4 linked regions of the Schizosaccharomyces pombe genome follow. Changing the gene in region 1 together with any one later gene gives a genetic interaction. Each region holds a gene or a part of one and is shown on either strand. Other genes may lie near its edges.

Evidence for each region.
Region 2: of scw1 (region 1) and cdc14, a mutation in one rescues a mutant of the other (synthetic rescue), as found in Schizosaccharomyces pombe (2 studies listed by BioGRID).
Region 3: of scw1 (region 1) and nda3, changing one suppresses a phenotype caused by changing the other (phenotypic suppression), as found in Schizosaccharomyces pombe (one study listed by BioGRID).
Region 4: of scw1 (region 1) and spg1, a mutation in one rescues a mutant of the other (synthetic rescue), as found in Schizosaccharomyces pombe (2 studies listed by BioGRID).

What each region holds. Positions count from the first base shown.
Region 1 is NC_003421.2:671,511-675,804, forward strand, and holds scw1 (RNA-binding protein Scw1), read left to right. Parts: upstream 1-1,965; coding exon 1,966-3,651; 3' UTR 3,652-3,741; downstream 3,742-4,294. Other genes in the region: SPOM_SPCC16C4.21 (uncharacterized protein), read left to right, coding at 1-45; p21-activated protein kinase inhibitor Skb15, read right to left, coding at 4,255-4,294.
Region 2 is NC_003423.3:2,330,249-2,335,577, reverse strand, and holds cdc14 (SIN component Cdc14), read right to left. Parts: upstream 3,453-5,329; 5' UTR 3,309-3,452; coding exon 2,586-3,308; 3' UTR 2,405-2,585; coding exon of another isoform or gene 1,301-2,404; 3' UTR 549-1,300; downstream 1-548. Other genes in the region: SPOM_SPBC24C6.09C (phosphoketolase family protein), read left to right, coding at 1-316; folliculin bhd1, read left to right, coding at 1,301-2,404; gpa1 (G-protein alpha subunit), read right to left, coding at 4,017-5,240. UniProt on the Schizosaccharomyces pombe protein: Has a role in the septation initiation network (SIN) required for cytokinesis.
Region 3 is NC_003423.3:3,963,592-3,967,657, forward strand, and holds nda3 (tubulin beta Nda3), read right to left. Parts: upstream 2,383-4,066; 5' UTR 2,334-2,382; coding exon 2,322-2,333; intron 2,286-2,321; coding exon 2,236-2,285; intron 2,185-2,235; coding exon 2,143-2,184; intron 2,102-2,142; coding exon 2,047-2,101; intron 1,958-2,046; coding exon 1,072-1,957; intron 987-1,071; coding exon 685-986; 3' UTR 501-684; downstream 1-500. Other genes in the region: protein Sdh8, read right to left, coding at 1-24; GTPase Grn1, read right to left, coding at 3,109-4,066. UniProt on the Schizosaccharomyces pombe protein: Tubulin is the major constituent of microtubules, a cylinder consisting of laterally associated linear protofilaments composed of alpha- and beta-tubulin heterodimers.
Region 4 is NC_003424.3:1,299,169-1,303,112, forward strand, and holds spg1 (GTPase Spg1), read right to left. Parts: upstream 1,923-3,944; 5' UTR 1,851-1,922; coding exon 1,721-1,850; exon of another isoform or gene 1,675-1,720; coding exon 1,466-1,674; exon of another isoform or gene 1,313-1,465; coding exon 1,229-1,312; exon of another isoform or gene 1,189-1,228; coding exon 1,114-1,188; exon of another isoform or gene 1,075-1,113; coding exon 976-1,074; 3' UTR 544-975; downstream 1-543. Other genes in the region: protein Utp8, read left to right, coding at 1-543; knd1 (cullin-associated NEDD8-dissociated protein 1), read right to left, coding at 2,749-3,944. UniProt on the Schizosaccharomyces pombe protein: GTP-binding protein essential for the induction of septum formation at G2 and pre-START stages of mitosis. Acts via the cdc7 protein kinase pathway.

The sequences.
Region 1 (4,294 bases):
ACGCTTTTTGTAGTGCAAAAAAAAAGATTTAAGCCGGAAACATAGCAGAATAGCAGAAATTTGATATTTACTGTTATCATCTCCATTATTATTTGGATTAGTTTTCGATTGTCCTTTCATTCATCTAATAACGCTTGTTTTTCTTTTTTCTTTTTTGCATTCTCAGTCTTGGTTGTTTTGCTATTTATTGCGTTCCTCGGTTTCTCCCTATTAAATATTTTCTTTTCATTGTTTTTACGGAAATTCTCATTTTTTCATCTTAGGGGCTCGTTGACTCAGCCTGCACGACAAGGAAAATTATATCCGTTTCGGAAGCACAACGTGTGTGTTGAAAGTCTTACTTTTCTTTTTTATTTTTCTGTACCCTTTCATTGAACTTTAGCCATTTGTTGCTTTGTTGAATTTTGGCCATAAATAGTTTTTCAACTGGGTTTTTATTCGACCTCCTTTCATTATTCATTTCATTTTCATATCTATCCATTTCTATCCCCACTAAACAATTTTGTGTTTTTAGGATTTCCCTATTCTCAATCCATAAAATAGTCACGATTCGTTTTCATTCAGATACCCGGCTCCTTATTTTTTTTTTTTTCGAAATTTTATTCACTCGTTTGATTTCGTTGATTCATTTCTTCCGCCTTTTACTCATTACTTAAGGGTATTTGCTTATTAAACGTTTGGTCTTTTTTTTTGCCCATCTTTTTGTTCATACAAAGTTTTGTGACATTTATATAATATTTAGTCTCTTCGTTTTTGTGTGGGTTACCTTTTTTGTTTTATTCTTTTTCTTTTTTTTTTCTCTTTCTTCCCTCTTTGTTTTTTCTTCTGACCCTATTTTATGCCTTATTATTATTTTGATCAAGTTTCAATCATTTTTTCACAAAGATTTCATATTCACTTTACTTCTTAGTTTTTTTCTTTTTATTTGAAATTTCTTGGAATCTTTTTGCCTTTTTTCTTTTAACTTGATCTCTCTTATTTAACGTTACTTAGAAAAGCTTCTTTTATTTTGCTTTTCCTTTCATTCTTCGCTCCTTTATAAACCGTGTTCATACTTCTTTTGCTTACGTTTTGCCAATCTTCCCAGCAATTTTACTTCTATCTTGATTGTTCTTGTTGTTGGATATTTACTCTTTGTTGATAGCGGTATATTTTATTTGCTTCTCACTTTTTGCCCGATTGCTTTCCTTTGATTTACCTCTCCAAAAAAAAACAAGTGTCTTTTGTTTACTTGTTTGTATATTTGTTTATACTCTGCTGATTGAAAAGTTGATTGTTTATTTTATTTTTCCATCTGCAACCATTTCTTTTTTTTTGAAAAAAAAAAAATCGCTAACTGATTTTTTTAAGCATTTCGAATACCTTCGAAGTCTTTTTATCGATACTTTTGACGATTTCTTCCTCATAAGCCTTGCCCTAGACTTTTTGTTAGCTCGGTATTTTTGCATATTTCAGTCATCTTTTTTTCATTTTCAGTTTGTGTTTTTTGCTTCACAGTTGTATCTGTCTCTCTTTTAGCAACTAGAATTATTTGTGGTGGTCAACAGTTTACCCTTTGCTCTCGTTTTCTTGAAGTTACAGTCTTTCTTTTATTATCTTCGTCCAGTATTCTAGGTTGTTGCCCTTCTAATTCTTTCGCGTCAAGTATTTGGATTTTTCTAATACTTGCTAACAATTTTTACTGAATTTTTTATTTTTCTTCATTGCCCTTGCTTATTTTTATTACTTACACACTTTCTTTTTAGTCGACCAACTAGGTTTCTAACTTTTTACTCCACTTATTAACTATTTCGTGTTATTAAGCTTGAAGCCTCATTTATTATCGTTTGGGGTTTATTTAACAACTACTGCTATTTCATTTGTGTTTTACTTTTAGGCATCTATTGCTTATTTTGGTTACTTTATCAACCACTTTGTCATTCTTTTTTCTCTTCTTTTCAATTACCATTATATATAATTTGCAAAATGTTTGTGGGATCACCGAGCGCTATTGAAAAGCCTTTATCGTTATCCAGTAAGACCAAAGTCGGGGACGAAACCGAGTTTACTGAAGATGCGCTACGTGGTTCATCGTTGGTTCCAACCGGTATTCTGAATGGAGATGATGAATGTCATGCTCTTCACATGTCTCCTCAGGCTATTCACAGCCAAGCTGGGAAAGCTGAATCTGACGGTTTACCTACTTATGCATCTGTGGAAAAATCCACAACTCCGATTGGTAGACTCCTCTCTAACCTCAACGGTGGATTAGCCTCTGCTCCTCCTAAGGTTGGATTCGGTTTTCCTAGATATTATGCTTTGCGGATTGAGGATTTACCTAGGGACTTAACACCCAGAGAGTTTTTATGTACCTTTTTATTCGCTACGAATGTAGTATCCGTCGAGCTTAATCCTGTATCCGTGGATAATGAAGTTGCTCATGGATTGGCGGTGTTTTCATCCCGAGATGCTGCTGCATCTGCTAGAGACACTTTGCTATCTAGCGATGTTTATTCCGCGTGCAGCATGATAATTTTAGACAATTATCGAAAGGGAAGTCAAACAAATCTTAGCGACGAAACTGAGGGCTCTGAGAGTAGTGTTTCATTTAACAGACTGTCTCGAAACCATTCTCCAACTCGTCCACTGTTAGGAAATCGTGATCTTTTCCGCAGGTCAAGTAATCATGTGTCAGCCAGTATGCCTACTGCAAATCATTCGGAATCTGCTTATCGTCATTCAAAAACACCTTTGGGTGATAGCACTTTTCAGGCTCCTAACAATGGAGGTAGTTTGCATTCCGATAGGTTGTGGTCTTCTTTCCCTGTTTCTTATCCTTTAACACTCGCGAATGTGTTAGCCAAGGATGAAGTTGGTTCACCTACGTGGTCACCCACTCCTTCCAAAAGTAGTACCAATTTGCGTCAAGACGGTGTTCCTCCGATTTTGCGATTTAACTCATTATCTATTAACACCAACGTGGCGCGCAATTACCTTTCATCTGAAAAGGGTTATAGCGCTCATACCCAAAATTCTAGTGCTCAATCACCCCATCCTCGTGTCTTTTCGGCAAACAGTGCATTCAGTACAACAAGCCCTCCTCCCTTGACACCATCAACATCAAGAGACTACCCATTTTCAGCTTCTACCATTTCACCTTCCACACCATTTTCGGCTTATTCCTCCAGTCATGGAATTCATCAACGCATCCCTGCTTCTACCCCCACGAATACCAACCCTGCTGATCAAAATCCTCCTTGTAACACCATTTATGTTGGAAATCTTCCTCCTTCTACTTCCGAGGAAGAGTTGAAAGTTTTGTTTTCCACTCAAGTTGGATACAAAAGACTTTGTTTCCGCACTAAAGGCAATGGCCCCATGTGTTTTGTTGAATTTGAAAACATTCCATACGCCATGGAAGCCTTGAAGAATTTACAAGGTGTTTGTCTTAGCAGTAGCATTAAAGGTGGTATTCGTTTGAGTTTTTCGAAGAACCCATTGGGAGTGCGCTCATCAAGTTCATCGCATAACAACCATAATGGAAACGTTCGTAACCTTCACTCTGGTTCCATGAATAATTACAATACAGACTCTTTGCTTAATCATACTGGTGGACATAACGAAGTCCACGCCAGTCCCAGTTGGGGTAATAATCTAATGTATGGCAAATAGCTCATCTAGCATTTTCTCGTCTTCATTTTATCATTATTCATCAATACCTTGCAAGGACTTTAGGTCCAAATTTTTTAAGCATATTGTTTCTCTTTTTTTTTTTTTGAGTTTTGCATATTGATTCTTTGTTAATCAAAAGTTGCGATCTATTCCACTTTGACTGCATGCAACTTTAACCATCTGTTAAGCTTAATTACAATTTGTCGATTTATGCGATCTGTTTTATTTCACTCTTATATAAGATGGGTACTTGCATTGTTTAGTTGTCATTAGGATTTATCATTTGCTCATCATTTCCATATACTTCTGCTACACATATCAATTTACATAATAATATCGACTTTTGCTTCTAAATGAACCCATCTTAAATTGCTAAACAAGTACTGTAACAACTTGGTTAGATGTATTTTTATTGTAACACCCAACTTAAGCTTACATACAAGAATTTTTAGGATACATTGATAAGCAAACACTTAATCCTTTTATAAATATTAGTATAGTCTAGGTGAATAAAATATTTCCAACAAAAACTGTATAATAGTAATCCCGTCCTTTCCCTATTAAGTTGAAATTGATTTACTTTTTTTAAAATTGCGAGGAACTTTAGGCATGCTTCGTCCTTTTCACAGGCGGCTGTTTTGAA
Region 2 (5,329 bases), on another chromosome or scaffold:
TGTGATGGACTTGAAGGCTCTCTTGTTTGATCGCATACAAGGTACACGGGTCACTATGGAGGGCTATCGAGAGGAAGGTACTACTACCACTCCTTTTAATATGATGATGTGTAACAATACCTCTCGTTATCATGTTGCAAGAATGGCTTTGCAACATGCTTTACACAATCCTACCGTGGCCGTTAATTGTAACATGTTGTGTGCCAAATATGCTTGGAAGCTCGAAGAGATTGAAAATTATATTATGGAAAACAAGGATGATCCTCCTGAAATTTATGCTGCTCCTGTCTTTAAAAATAAGACTTCCACATTATAGATAGAAATGGTGCATTCTTTTTGTTTATATAATGATAATTCTACAGAATTTAAATAAAATTACATCTGTTTTTGTGTTAATTAAAACGTTAGCATATCTTGTAGTGTTGGGGTGTACCCAAACATTGGTTGGTGGTATCACTTAGGTAGCTAGCTGACTTGGATTTGCCCGGTCGCGCGCATATTGCAATTGTGTTTTACACGATTTAATATACCAATTCTTATATACATTACTATCAATAGTTTGTGGCTGTATTTAGTAATCGAAACAGTAGAGGCACTAATTGATACCTTACGCTTTTTTGTAGCTCGTCAGTTTTTAACCTCTTCCTCCCCCTCTCAACGCACTCGCATTTTTACTTGTTTTCTATGAAGGTCGTTTTCATTTTTGAAGTTTCTTAATTACTAGCTTTTCGTAAATTCCCTCATTTGCGACTCTTCAGCATTCCCCTACAATATCGGAAATGTGGAACTTGGTATAAACTTCTGAACATTCTATTCCTTGAAGTGAGAAAATCAACCGCTTTTTCCAAACAGAAAAACTTTTTTTTTAATTCTTTTAATGTAAACTGGACAGATTCTAGTGTGTTTATTATATTTTGGTACTGTGTGAGATGAAGACGCACACATATATCCTCTAATTTATCAGGAATTTTCATATCAATTTCAGTATCTGGAGCGTTTCAAGCTCTTTAATCCATTTTTTTTCTAATCCTCAATCTTTTCGAAATACCTCAGTATAACTGAATGTTTGCTTGGTAAATCGGTAAAGTACAAAAGGTTGTTTTCGAACGAATGCACATCTTACATTTTATCGACTTTAAAACGTATCACCTTATTAATCATTAGATTTGAAGGCATTATTTAGAAGCTATTATACACCATCAAAACTTTTCAAGTTCATTGTCGCTTTCTAAACATTTGCTTTCAGATCGCCTTTGTCAACTAAACACTTTTATCTCACCAAATTTCCATAATAGTCATAATGGATGTTGTTTTTGCTCTTGGACATTTCTGTGAGGCCGAGGGGCCTTCCATTATTTTTTGCACTCAAAAATTGCATCGCTCTACCGTTTCAAAATTTTTTGAGCATCCTACATCTAAGCGCTCTATTGGCGTAACGGAGAATGGTAATGATTCACCAGAAGCCTTCAAAAATGAACTCGATAATCGAAACAATGCCGATTCTCAATCTTTACAAAGTTCTACCGAATCACTTTTCAAAGCTGATTCTGAAGATTATTTATGTAAAAAGGTATCGAAAGGACCAGAATCCCCCCGAGTAAACTCATTTCATAACTCATACTCTCGAAATCAAAGCCCTATTTCGAGAAAATCATCTTGTGTTACATGTAGTACTGTTTTACCCCTTGAATTCTCTGTACCTGATGTTCAACCACGACTTTATACAAACTCAAGTACAAACCCCGATGTTTTATACATGTCTAGTCAACATCCACATACTCAGCAACGATATTCTACCCTTAAGCGATTAATGGTTCGCTGCTTGAGCTGTGAATATTCAACACTATCTGAAGCTTCCGATTCTATGTCAAATCCTTTGTTCTTTGGAGACCAAGATAACGGTTACGTTATTAGTCAGTCTTTTTCTTTAAGAGATCCCTCTGCCCGGGGAGGACTTCGAAGATATGCGATTATTGCTACTTGTCCAAATCAGTTAGATTTGATTTTGCGATATAGTTTTATTTCTGAAAAGTTTCTTCATATAGTCCAGTTTCTAAGGATTTCTTCTTTCAATACAAAGAATGACTACTCCTCCTCCCGTTCAAAAACAACAGCCTCCTCTAGCAATGGAACGTTTGCATCCCCCAGTTTTAACATTTCTTCGTTATCGGGTTCTTCAAATATAGGAACTGCTCCTTCGTATGAGATATCCTCTAGTATCGGTGCAAATGTGTCATCTTTGGCCCACACACAAAGACTTCCTTCTTTCAGTTTTTTGCGTCGTCGAGACGATATTGGGGAGGGACGCAGTTTAGTTGATATCACATGTTGGGACGGAATCTTTGTCGGTCTTCACAGTTCGTTTAGCTGGATTCTGGAGGTTTGGGATCTCTTAGTAGTATGAAAGTAAAACTGGTTGACTTTTTACAAATGCTATAGGATGCTGGAATACTTTCAATAGTAAGATGATCGATTAATAATTTAACATTAACATTAGAAATTCTTTAGTAAATGAATACTAAATTTTCAAAAATAAGTTAACAATGAGACTTTAAACATTTTTTTGCACCAGGCATTGCATCTAACTAGTCGAATGTTTCGTCTAACTTGCCAAATGGTTGAAACTTATCTAAATCATCTCGAAGCCCTTGTACGTTAGAAAGATATTTGGATAGGTAAGCTTGTTTCTCAGTCCGCGTTTTCCTGTAGGCAATGACATCTATAGAATATGGTTCAGGGGATAAATAGAAATAGAAAAATTCGAGAATTTGAAATCGGGTGTCCTGACTTGTTTGTTTGTGCTTAAAAACTACGCATATCTGCTGCAAGCCATTAATCTGCTCAAAAAGCCTAATAGCCAGTGGACGATCTGCCATGATACATACAAGCGTTTTCATTGCAGCCACTTGCAACATAGATGGCTGAGATGGCTGTAATAAATGAATAAATAACCTTAAGGTAGCTTTATCTTCAAATAACGTCTGTGATTTTGGATGGATTAAAACCAATCCTTCAATCACATGCAGTAAGTCATCAATTAGCTTTTGAATGAATTGAAAGTTTTTTTCGTATGCCTCTTCATTCTGCTGATATTCAAGGAGACTGTCCAAAGCGTAAATGCAAGGGGTAGTAGAATTATACAATGGTGAATCCTGTAATTTTAGGAAAATTTCTCTTGGAATTTTATCATCATGACTAGGTTTCGCAACATGATATACAATAGATTCGACTTGACGCAAACCAATTCGAATTAGCTTTGGATTCCTCATACACAAATGCTGTTTAGCATTGTTTAATAGATCTTCCATACCGGATCATTATTTACTCATGCCAAGCGGGCAATAAAAATCCTTATTATAAATAAAAGTAAATTGAATCTTCGTTTAGTTAAAGATAAAAAAGAGACTCTATATTCGTTCTTAGTAATGATATAAATAGTAGGGTGGAGTGTTGAAGCAGCTACATTAAATTGCTATTTTCTAAAACTTGAGGTTTTGGGAGAGAAAACACCAGCTTGCTAAGATAGGATACAATTGAATATTAACAGGCGAATTGGAGCCATATTTGAAAAAGGGGCCTAAAATAACAAAACAAGCAACATCGAGTCCTTATAGATTTATATTTAGTTTACGATCAAATCCGCCTAATTTAATTATATTAATATCAATGGGTTTAGTTTGTCTCAAACGGTTGACATGAAAAAATTTAGATATTAAATTAAACAATAGTTATGTATTAATCGTAAAATTATCAAATAACAAAAACTGCAGTTAATTTTGAGCTATTTAAAACAATATAAGATTACACGAAGCTTCGAAGAAGCTATGAAATAAAACAATTAGAATGCACTAATTAACAGTTTCGATGGAGAAATAACACATGAAGTGCATACAAAATGCAAGGAAATTAACTAGAGACACCATTCACGGAAAAGTATAGAGGCTTTTCCTAGAGTGCGAATGAAAGTAGAGAAATGAGACAGAAAAGATTATGAAGATAGTTAAGGAAAAATTCATCTAAAACATAAGTGACTGTAGATTGTTGGACATAATCGTATCTTGAACGGATACCATTACCCTTTGGAGCAAACTAGTGTCTGTAGCTGTGGTAAAATGGCAATAGCAACTACGAGAAGCGATGCGATTAAGACTTTCAAACTTTAAGTAAAAGTAATACATACCGCTTCGAACTGCGTTGTCGGCAAGAGGGCATTGAGTTTGTACGAATGTTGGTGTTGAACCAACTTCTTGGTAATCAGGAAAATGCTTCTGGATGGGGGAAATGTGAACCTTTCTTTTAAATAAATCAAGTTTATTTAGAAAAAGTATCATTGCTGATTCTGAAAACCAGCTAGAGTTACATATGGAATCCCATAATAATAACGCCTCCTGCATCTGATTTCCTGAATTGTCCTCTACAAGGCATTGATCGTAACCTGCCAAAGAAACGAGAAACAACAATGCAGTGACATTTTCAAAGCAATGAATCCATTTTCTGCGCTCTGATCTCTGTCCTCCTACATCAAAAAATCGGTAATGATGACGATTTAACAGAAATGTTTCTTCTGATATACCGGTCGTCTTGATACGACAGTGAAGGATATCTTGATCAGAAGGTATATATTGTGGGTCAAAAATTCGATCAATGTGATCTTGATAGTAATAAAAATTGTCTAACAAAGAGAGGTTGGTACCACAACTTTGCACCGTACGAAGTTTGGTATCCAATGTCAAGGCATGAACAGCTTCATATATTTCTGGAGAAAATGGCTCATTGGGTTGAGAAGTGTGTTTTCTTAGGATAACTGCCCGATACTTCTCATTTTCCGGAAGTAAAGAGACATTACTATTATCCATAGCTTCAAGAAGAAGACATAGAGAGGAGATGATATTTTCAAAAATCATCACTCGATACTGCTTTCTAACTACTTGACTAAAACCGGGGCTATACAATAATCTCATCTGCTTCATAATGGTCGTTTTCCCACTATCACCGGCGCCTAAGAGCAAAACTTTAATGTCATTTCCACCTGAAGTAGAATTTCCTTTTACGCGTACTCCAGAACTTTCCACATTTTGTGGTTTTCCACGCAGGACGATATTAAGCCAGTTTTCAAGGACTGGAACTCGAGCGTTTTGACTTCCAGTTGTAGAGCTGTTTGAGGTTTGCGTATCTGAAAGCTTCTTTTGAATGACTTCTCCTCCTGATGTATCAGCGTATTTACTCGACATGCATCCCATGGTGAAAAGGCAGCTACAGATTCCAAATCCCCACAAGGAGATAATTCAAAGTCGAGACAAAGAAAGTTAATCTCCGCAATTTTCTGTAA
Region 3 (4,066 bases), on another chromosome or scaffold:
AGCACGTAAATTACGATTAAACATTGTTTTGGTGCGATTGCAATGTAGTAAATAAAGTTCCTAATATACTTTTATATGAGTAAATTTCAATTTCGGCTTTTCGAAGCCACTCAATATTTCTCGTCGTTGACAAAGGCGAATTTAGAAAGTGGCGGATTGTTATACTGGTGGACGTTTATAAGTACTGGTATATCAAACGAGTTTACTTTCACAAAACGCAACATAAATACGATACGTAGCAGTAGGTGATAATTTAACTAAATTAATAGTTTATTGAATTTACAAATCTCACTGCATCTTTTGGTTCTACTTTTGGGAATTGACACTTAAGTATTAGACTTGCTTTATACATTTACTTTGTAATAGTCAAATATCTAAGCATATATTAGGGAATAGTAAATAGCTTTAATTCGTACGGTTTGGACTTACAAAAGTACTTTACAGACTTACTCGTGTTTATAGTACATTTCCACCTTGGTAGCCAGGCTAAAGCTATATTTAGAGTGTAAGGAGCATTTCAAAGCTATGAAAAAAAGTAAAGAGCGTTTAGCACAGACGATGCTTGGAATCCATATGCATCGGAGTAAAATAAAGCATTTCAATGAATGTAGGAAAAAAGGAACGTAGATAAACACTATTTGAAAATATATGGCACACTTGGATTATAAAAAGGGTTATAAGGGTTTAATACTCGAGAGGCTCCTTCTCTTCTTCAATTTCATAATCTTCATCACCCTCATCGATACCAGCCTCCTGGTATTGTTGATATTCGCTAACCAAGTCATTCATATTAGATTCAGCCTCAGTAAACTCCATTTCGTCCATGCCTTCACCAGTATACCAATGCAAAAAGGCTTTTCTTCTAAACATTGCAGAAAACTGATCACCCAAACGACGGAAAATTTCTTGGATAGAAGTACTGTTACCAATAAAAGTTGCAGACATCTTGAGATCCTTAGGAGGAACGGAACAAACAGCTTTGAGGACTATTTCGAGGTTAGCAGATGAGCATAAACAAGTAGAAAAAATAAACTAAATATACAAACGACGTTTTAAACCAAGTAAACATACCATTATCGGGAATCCACTCAACGAAATATGCTGAATTCTTAGTTTGAACAGAGCGAATTTGCTCGTCGACTTCTTTCATTGAGACTTTACCACGGAAAAGAGCGGCAACTGTTAAGTAACGGCCATGGCGAGGATCAGCGGCGACCATCATATTATTAGCATCAAACATTTGTTGAGTAAGCTCGGGCACAGAAACAGCTTGAAATGAGCTTGAACCGATGGCGGCAAGAGGAGCAAATCCTACCATGAAAAAGTGTAAACGAGGGAAGGGAACCATATTAACAGCTAATTTACGCAAGTCAGAGTTCAATTCACCAGGGAATCGGAAAGATGTGGTTACACCAGCCATTACAGCAGAGACAAGATGGTTCAAGTCATCGTATGAAGGACTCTTGATTTTCAACGTGTTAGCGAAAATTGAAGAAAGAGCCTCATTATCAATGCAAAATGTTTCGTCAGAGTTCTCTACCAATTGATGCATAGAAAGAGTAGCATTGTAAGGTTCCACAACGGTATCAGAGCTTTTAGGAGCAGGAGCAACGGAGAAGGTAGCCATCATACGGTCCGGATATTCCTCGCGAATCTTCGAAAGTAAAAGAGTACCCATACCAGATCCAGTACCACCACCCAAAGAGTGAGTTAATTGGAAACCTTGTAAAGCATCACATGCTTCAGCTTCACGGCGAACAACGTCCAAAACAGCATCGGCCAATTCAGCACCTTCAGTGTAATGGCCTTTAGCCCAAATATTTCCGGCACCAGATTGTCCATAAATAATATTGTCCGGGCGGAAAAGATTTCCAAACTTTCCTGACTTCACGGCATCCATAGTACCGGGCTCTAAATCAACAAGGACTGCGCGGGGAACATACTTTCCACCAGCGGCCTACAGTCGTCAGTACTAAATAAACAAAAAAAAATTTTTTCAAAAAGTTTTAAGCAACCGAACACTTGTAAGAAAGCAAAAAAACCTACCTCGTTAAAATAAACGTTCAATCGCTCGTGTTGTGCCTCAGAAGTTCCATGATATCTACGTAAAAGTCAGTAAAAAAACAAGCAAAATAGACCTACATTCCAGCTGAATCCAAACCATGCTCATCAGCAATGGTAGACCTTCCAAGCGTTAGTTGAGAGAAACGTTATAACAAAGTAGATTTTGCTTACCAAAAGGCCGCACCGACTTGGTTTCCGCATTGACCAGCTTGAATATGAACCTATTGATTAGCTTTGAATATTAAAATAGCTCGTACAATCTCACGCATCTAGACTAATTTATGGTGGTTTGTTTTGATGATCAGTTTGGTGGTAGGTGAGTTTCGTTAGGAGGAACGGATTGAGAATACCAAAAGTACCAAATCGTTTTTATACGTTTCAGAAATTCTAAAAACACAGTTTATTGCAGTTATTTACTAGTAGGCTTTTAAAAAAAATTTTTGTGTATTTATTAGCCGATTGTTAATTGAAAAGAATCAAGTCTTAAATCATTGCTTATTAAATAGTTTACTTCTTTTATATACAAGCTTTTTTTCTTTTCTTTGGTAATGTATGTAACTTTATTTATTCTTTAGTTTATATACATAATTATTAACTGCTAAACAGATTAATTTGATATTATGCCATATTCAGTAGTAGCGCAAAATAGTATGGTTAGAATTGTTTGTGTTTATCCTATCAATTGATATAAAAATGAAATGAAACTTATAACTGCACGTTAGTATCAATGTCATTTTCCGTACATATTCAATTGACTTTATTTAAGCCAGCATGCATTGATTTAATAATTTCCCGTATTAGCGAACCTATTACTTAAAACTTCTCCCATATCAAACATTACTTTTACAAGTAAATGTAAAACAACACATTCAAGAATACGGCATATATGCAAAAAAAATTATTTATATATTAATTCAAAAAGTAATAGCTAGTAACCATCAACACCTAAAGATTTTTAAAACCCGAAGAAAAACCGCAACCGAAAACCAAATCCCAAAATATAAGCTCTAAGCAACAATAGCTTTTTTCGTAAGTTGAAAACTCTCAAAAATCATTAAGGTCAAATTCTTTGGCCCACTCAGTAACGATTTGAGTATCCTGAACTTCAGATGAGTTCTTTTCGTTTATAACCTCAGGCTCGGCCCACCATTCGATACGACCAGCATGCCAGTCATTAATGACAATATTGGCAGCAGCGTTAAGATTTGGAATTCCACCGCGACCTAGACGACCACGCTTACGAGCAATATTGACTAAAAAATCAGTAGCAGTGTCTATATCGGATGTATTCAATAGAGGAGGAAGCTCATATCTTTGAAACATTCTTTCCAATTGTCCTGGAACTCTGCTAAGGAATTGCAAAATGTAAGAAGCAACGGCAACGGGATCATCAACTTTGGTGGATGAAACAGCATTAAGCATTACAAGACGATACAAATCGTCTTTAGAATCACTAGAAGGAAAAACAATACCAGGACTATCGACCAAACGTAATTTGTTATCTAGCTTCACCTCTCGCAAAGAAGTAGTCATTCCGGCAACGTTTCCGGCAGGACAAGGTGCAGAACGACCATTCGCAGAACGGTTGACAAGAGCGTTAATAACAGATGATTTACCAACGTTGGGGTATCCAATTACACCGACTGTAAGAGAGCTTTTAAGCTTCTTCTTGGCTGAGTAAGACTTGAGTGATTTAAGAAGATTGGAGATAGTGGAACTAGCAGAAGCCGACTGGTGCTTTAAATTTGAGTTTCCAGATCCTGAAGCGGAACGCATAGGAATCGTAGGAAAGAAATTGCGGAGATAGGTAACCCACTTGTTGAGTACTTCTGATGGTACTAAGTCAATTTTGTTGATAACGAAAATAAGACGCTTTTCTTCAGCAGAAGATGCTAAAACTTGACGTTCAACGTCTTTTGAACGAGTCCCTTCAGGATCACGAGCGTCAAGAACGTAAAGAATCACATCTGACGCTTCAACAACTTTTTTGAACTCCTTATCA
Region 4 (3,944 bases), on another chromosome or scaffold:
GTTAAGTTGTTAAGAAGTGCTTTAGCGAGGTTATCTTTGTTTGATAGCACGACATCCCGAGAAGCGTTGCTTTTAGCTTTTGTTCCCGAGGATTTTGATTCACTCTTTAAAACCTTGGGCAACCTAGTAGTAGACTCTAACCTTGCATCTGTTAAGTTTAATTTGGAAACGTACATTTACTGTTTGTCTGTTGTTCTCGATGCAATGGGTGTTGGAGGCGTTGCATCGAGTTCTGAAAACTTAGAGGCTGCGAGGATTCTCTACAATGATTTACAGGAAAAGCTAACGAATTTAACAGCTATGTCGCTTGTTCTCCCTGCAATTTCCGAAATTGTTAAGCGTAAAAAAGACGTACATGCTGAACGAGTGCAGTTCTACGCCAATCCACAACCTAAAGCAATTGTGGATGACATGGGTGATCTTGCGACTTTACTGAAAAAAGATTTTCTTTCCGAAAAAAGAAAAGGTAAAAGCCAACGTGCCCGTGGTAAAGAAATTGACATGGCTATTGGAAAATATACAGTTGAACGTTTAGAAATATAATTAGAAAAACAGGTTTATTTGTGAAATACATATAGGGGTTATTTTTTTGGAATAAAAATCTATCAAAAATTAATTTAAATAATGTTTGTACATAAAGGGACAGTATACCACATTCAAAGATATTTCAGACCTTGTTTTCAACTGCAAAGCTATATCAACTAAAAGTTTGATAAAACAAAAGACTGGTAAAGATCACTTTTAATTAGACAGATTTCGTTCAAACAAAAAACCAAAAGTTGCAGAGATCGTGGTTATAATTCATTAAATATTTTGACAGAGAGTTGAGTAAATGAATATGTCGTTAAAACCAAAAGCAAGGGAAAAGGTAGCAATACTTAAATGACACAAAAATTCGGGAAAATAAACATGATAAAGGAGTGTGGGTAAAATCAGAGTAAAAAAAAAAAGAAAGAGATGGTAAAGCATTAAAAATCAGCGATCGATGTATTCCAAAATAGGATCTCCAACGTTTTTTATTTCAGGAATAGTACATTTTAAGTCAAACACCTTAGCCAAAACAATTTTGAATATCTAAAAATCGTCAATATAGTATATCAACTGATATTATACCTTTTGCACATTAATAGAGTGTGAAGTAGAACAAAATACCAAGCTTGCCTTCATGGCCTTTGCATAACGACGTGCCTAACCAAGTTAATAATACGACTTCTAGTAATTTTTGTACCTGTTTGGTAATCTCTTCTTGATCTTCACGAGGAAATGTCATGAAATGATCGTATTTTGTTCCAATCAATATAGGGACAGCGGTCTGAAAGCGTTAGTAACTAAGTTAGAGATATACTGAGTACGATAAAAAGTAATCTAATGAAGTTTAGCCACGAACAGAGGTTATCGGTTCTAAAAACAAAATCAAAACAACCCGGACGTGCATAAACGTATATCGGAACGAAAGAACTCATACCTTATTGAAACCGCGAGCTTGACGATACCATTCTTTGATAGAATTTAATGTGGATTTCCTTGAAAGATCGAACATAAAGAGAATTGCAACGGCATCGTTACAAACCATCGGTAGCATGTTTACAAATTCTCGCTGACCTCCAAGGTCCCAAATTGAAAAGGTAATTTCAGTGTTTCGAATGCTTATTGTTTTCTCCATAAAATTCACTCCTAAGTTTGTTAAGTTAGAAATCTCCCAATAAAGGTAAATATTTACCAAGCGTTTGTGTGCTTTCCTCATCAAATGAGCCCTGAACATAAGTTACCATAAGAGATGTTTTGCCAATTGAACTATCTCCAATCATTCCGACTTTTATCGTGACGTTATTTTTTCTAGCATCTGCCATTCTTTAAAACTCCTATCCTCTGATATTACTCTGCTTGAACCCCGGCAGTAGATGAACAATTTCCCTTTGCATAGGATAAGAAGCCTCGTTCGTGTTATAATATATATATTGGCTTATTATGAATAGCGTATTATGACATAGCTTGCTACGTCGTGTTACGTTGACTTGTACATATATTTTTTTAAGCAATGGAAAGAATGCTGGTAATATATTAGTTTGTAAATTAAAACGAGAAAAGATCTTTATTTATAATAAGTAATTATAAAAAAGCTAGTTATTATAACTGGTGGGTTTACAGTAAATTGTAGTTTTGATTATTTGCTATCGATAATGTAAAATTCCATAACTGTTTGTGCTAATTATTGAGCCAAATGAGATGCGTTGTTAATTGCTCTTGGAATTATTCGTAATTCTTGTACTCATAAGTTTGTTCGGGACTATTTTTTCTGGGTTTTACTCGCATTGCAACGGAATTCGGGTTCTTACCAGGGATTGTGGTACCGAGCCGCCAGGTGTTTATGAAGCCATAATATGATAAAGGTACTAAAATTGTTCATATACTGATAATTAGAAGTTACACTAAGACTGAACGTTAACATGGCAGTGTCATTTTTAAAATGCTTGACGACCAGAACAAGCCAGTAATAATTAATATATTAAGTCAACCAAATGCCTCTAAACATTATCATAATTAACAATATGACAAATATGGTCAGCATTTATTTTTCTGTTTCATTTTGCACACCTTAGCTTTTACTGTTTAATGCGTCAACTGGATTCATCTGAAATTAATGAATATATCAGTTGAGAAGCGCATTGTAGGTTTCAACATTGAAATATTGTAGGTAATCAAATGCCAGTAAAAATTCAAAGGGAATTTCCAACATTATATTCAAATTCAAGTTTTAATTGTAGTTTTGATTTCGTTCTTTATTCCCTCATATTCCAAGGAGTAAGGACCCTTTTGAACTTGACTTTCGAATTCAGAAATTACAGGATTGTCGCACTTCAACTTCATTGTAAACAAAACTCTCAAAGCAGAACGAACCAAATCAAGGATATTATCGCTATCTGTCTTTAAAGTCTTTTCAGTTTTTCTAAGCTCTATAATTTTTCGTAATGCTTCCAAAATAGTGTCTACTTGCTCGTCTATAATTGAAGGGCTGCAGTCGACAAGTTTTTCCAAGATTGACAAAGATACTAGCTTAATATAATGTTCATCTTCTAACCCCATGACAGAAACCTGTAAAAAATGGGTTAAATGATTCAAAGATTCAGGGATATCCAGTAAGGAATAAAGTGTTTCAAATACTAGCTGCCGTTGATTTATTGAATTATCAACCACATGTTGGAAAGGGCCCATTTGTACAACATGAACGTTACTAGAATCAACTGATGATTTGGAAATTAAGCCTTGTAAAAGTTCATTATAAACGTCTGCAATGCAAGAACGCCTATTTTTTATCACAGATATTATGACCTGCAACGTTTCTTGACTAACTTCGAGGTCTGGATTTTGAAATAGCTTATACGCCTTTTCAAAAAATTGTTTCTCATAAGCTTTCAGTTTAGGACAGTCCAATGTCAACGAAAAACGAAACACCGAAAGAGATAAAAGCATATGATTTGAAGCTTCACTGGAGGATAAAAGTTCTAGCTTATAATATAAGCTAGAAGATTCATTACAAATTAAAAGACCAAGACATTCAGATAAAAGAGTTCTGAAGGGAGAAGTGGAAAAGTCTTTAATGTTTTCAATGTCCTTAGAAAGGATATCCCATATTTTATCTGCTGTTTCATAATCGATTTTTGATTTCTTAAGAAAAGTTAAAAAGGAAATTAATAAAAGTTCTTTATCATAAGCATCTGAGACGTATAAAGCACATAATTCTTTTATGAATTTTTCACTTTGACTAGTAAGCGACCCTAAGGCAATAGCTGCTGCTTTCATAACATCTGCATTCGGCGAGTTTAAATTACTTGCAATCGTATCAAAGTACTCATTTGCAGGAAGTGTTAGCTTCCCGTAATCAAGCTGTCCAAAAATTAAAGTTGTGAAAACTTTTATCCGTACTTCTGATTTAGGACTCATAA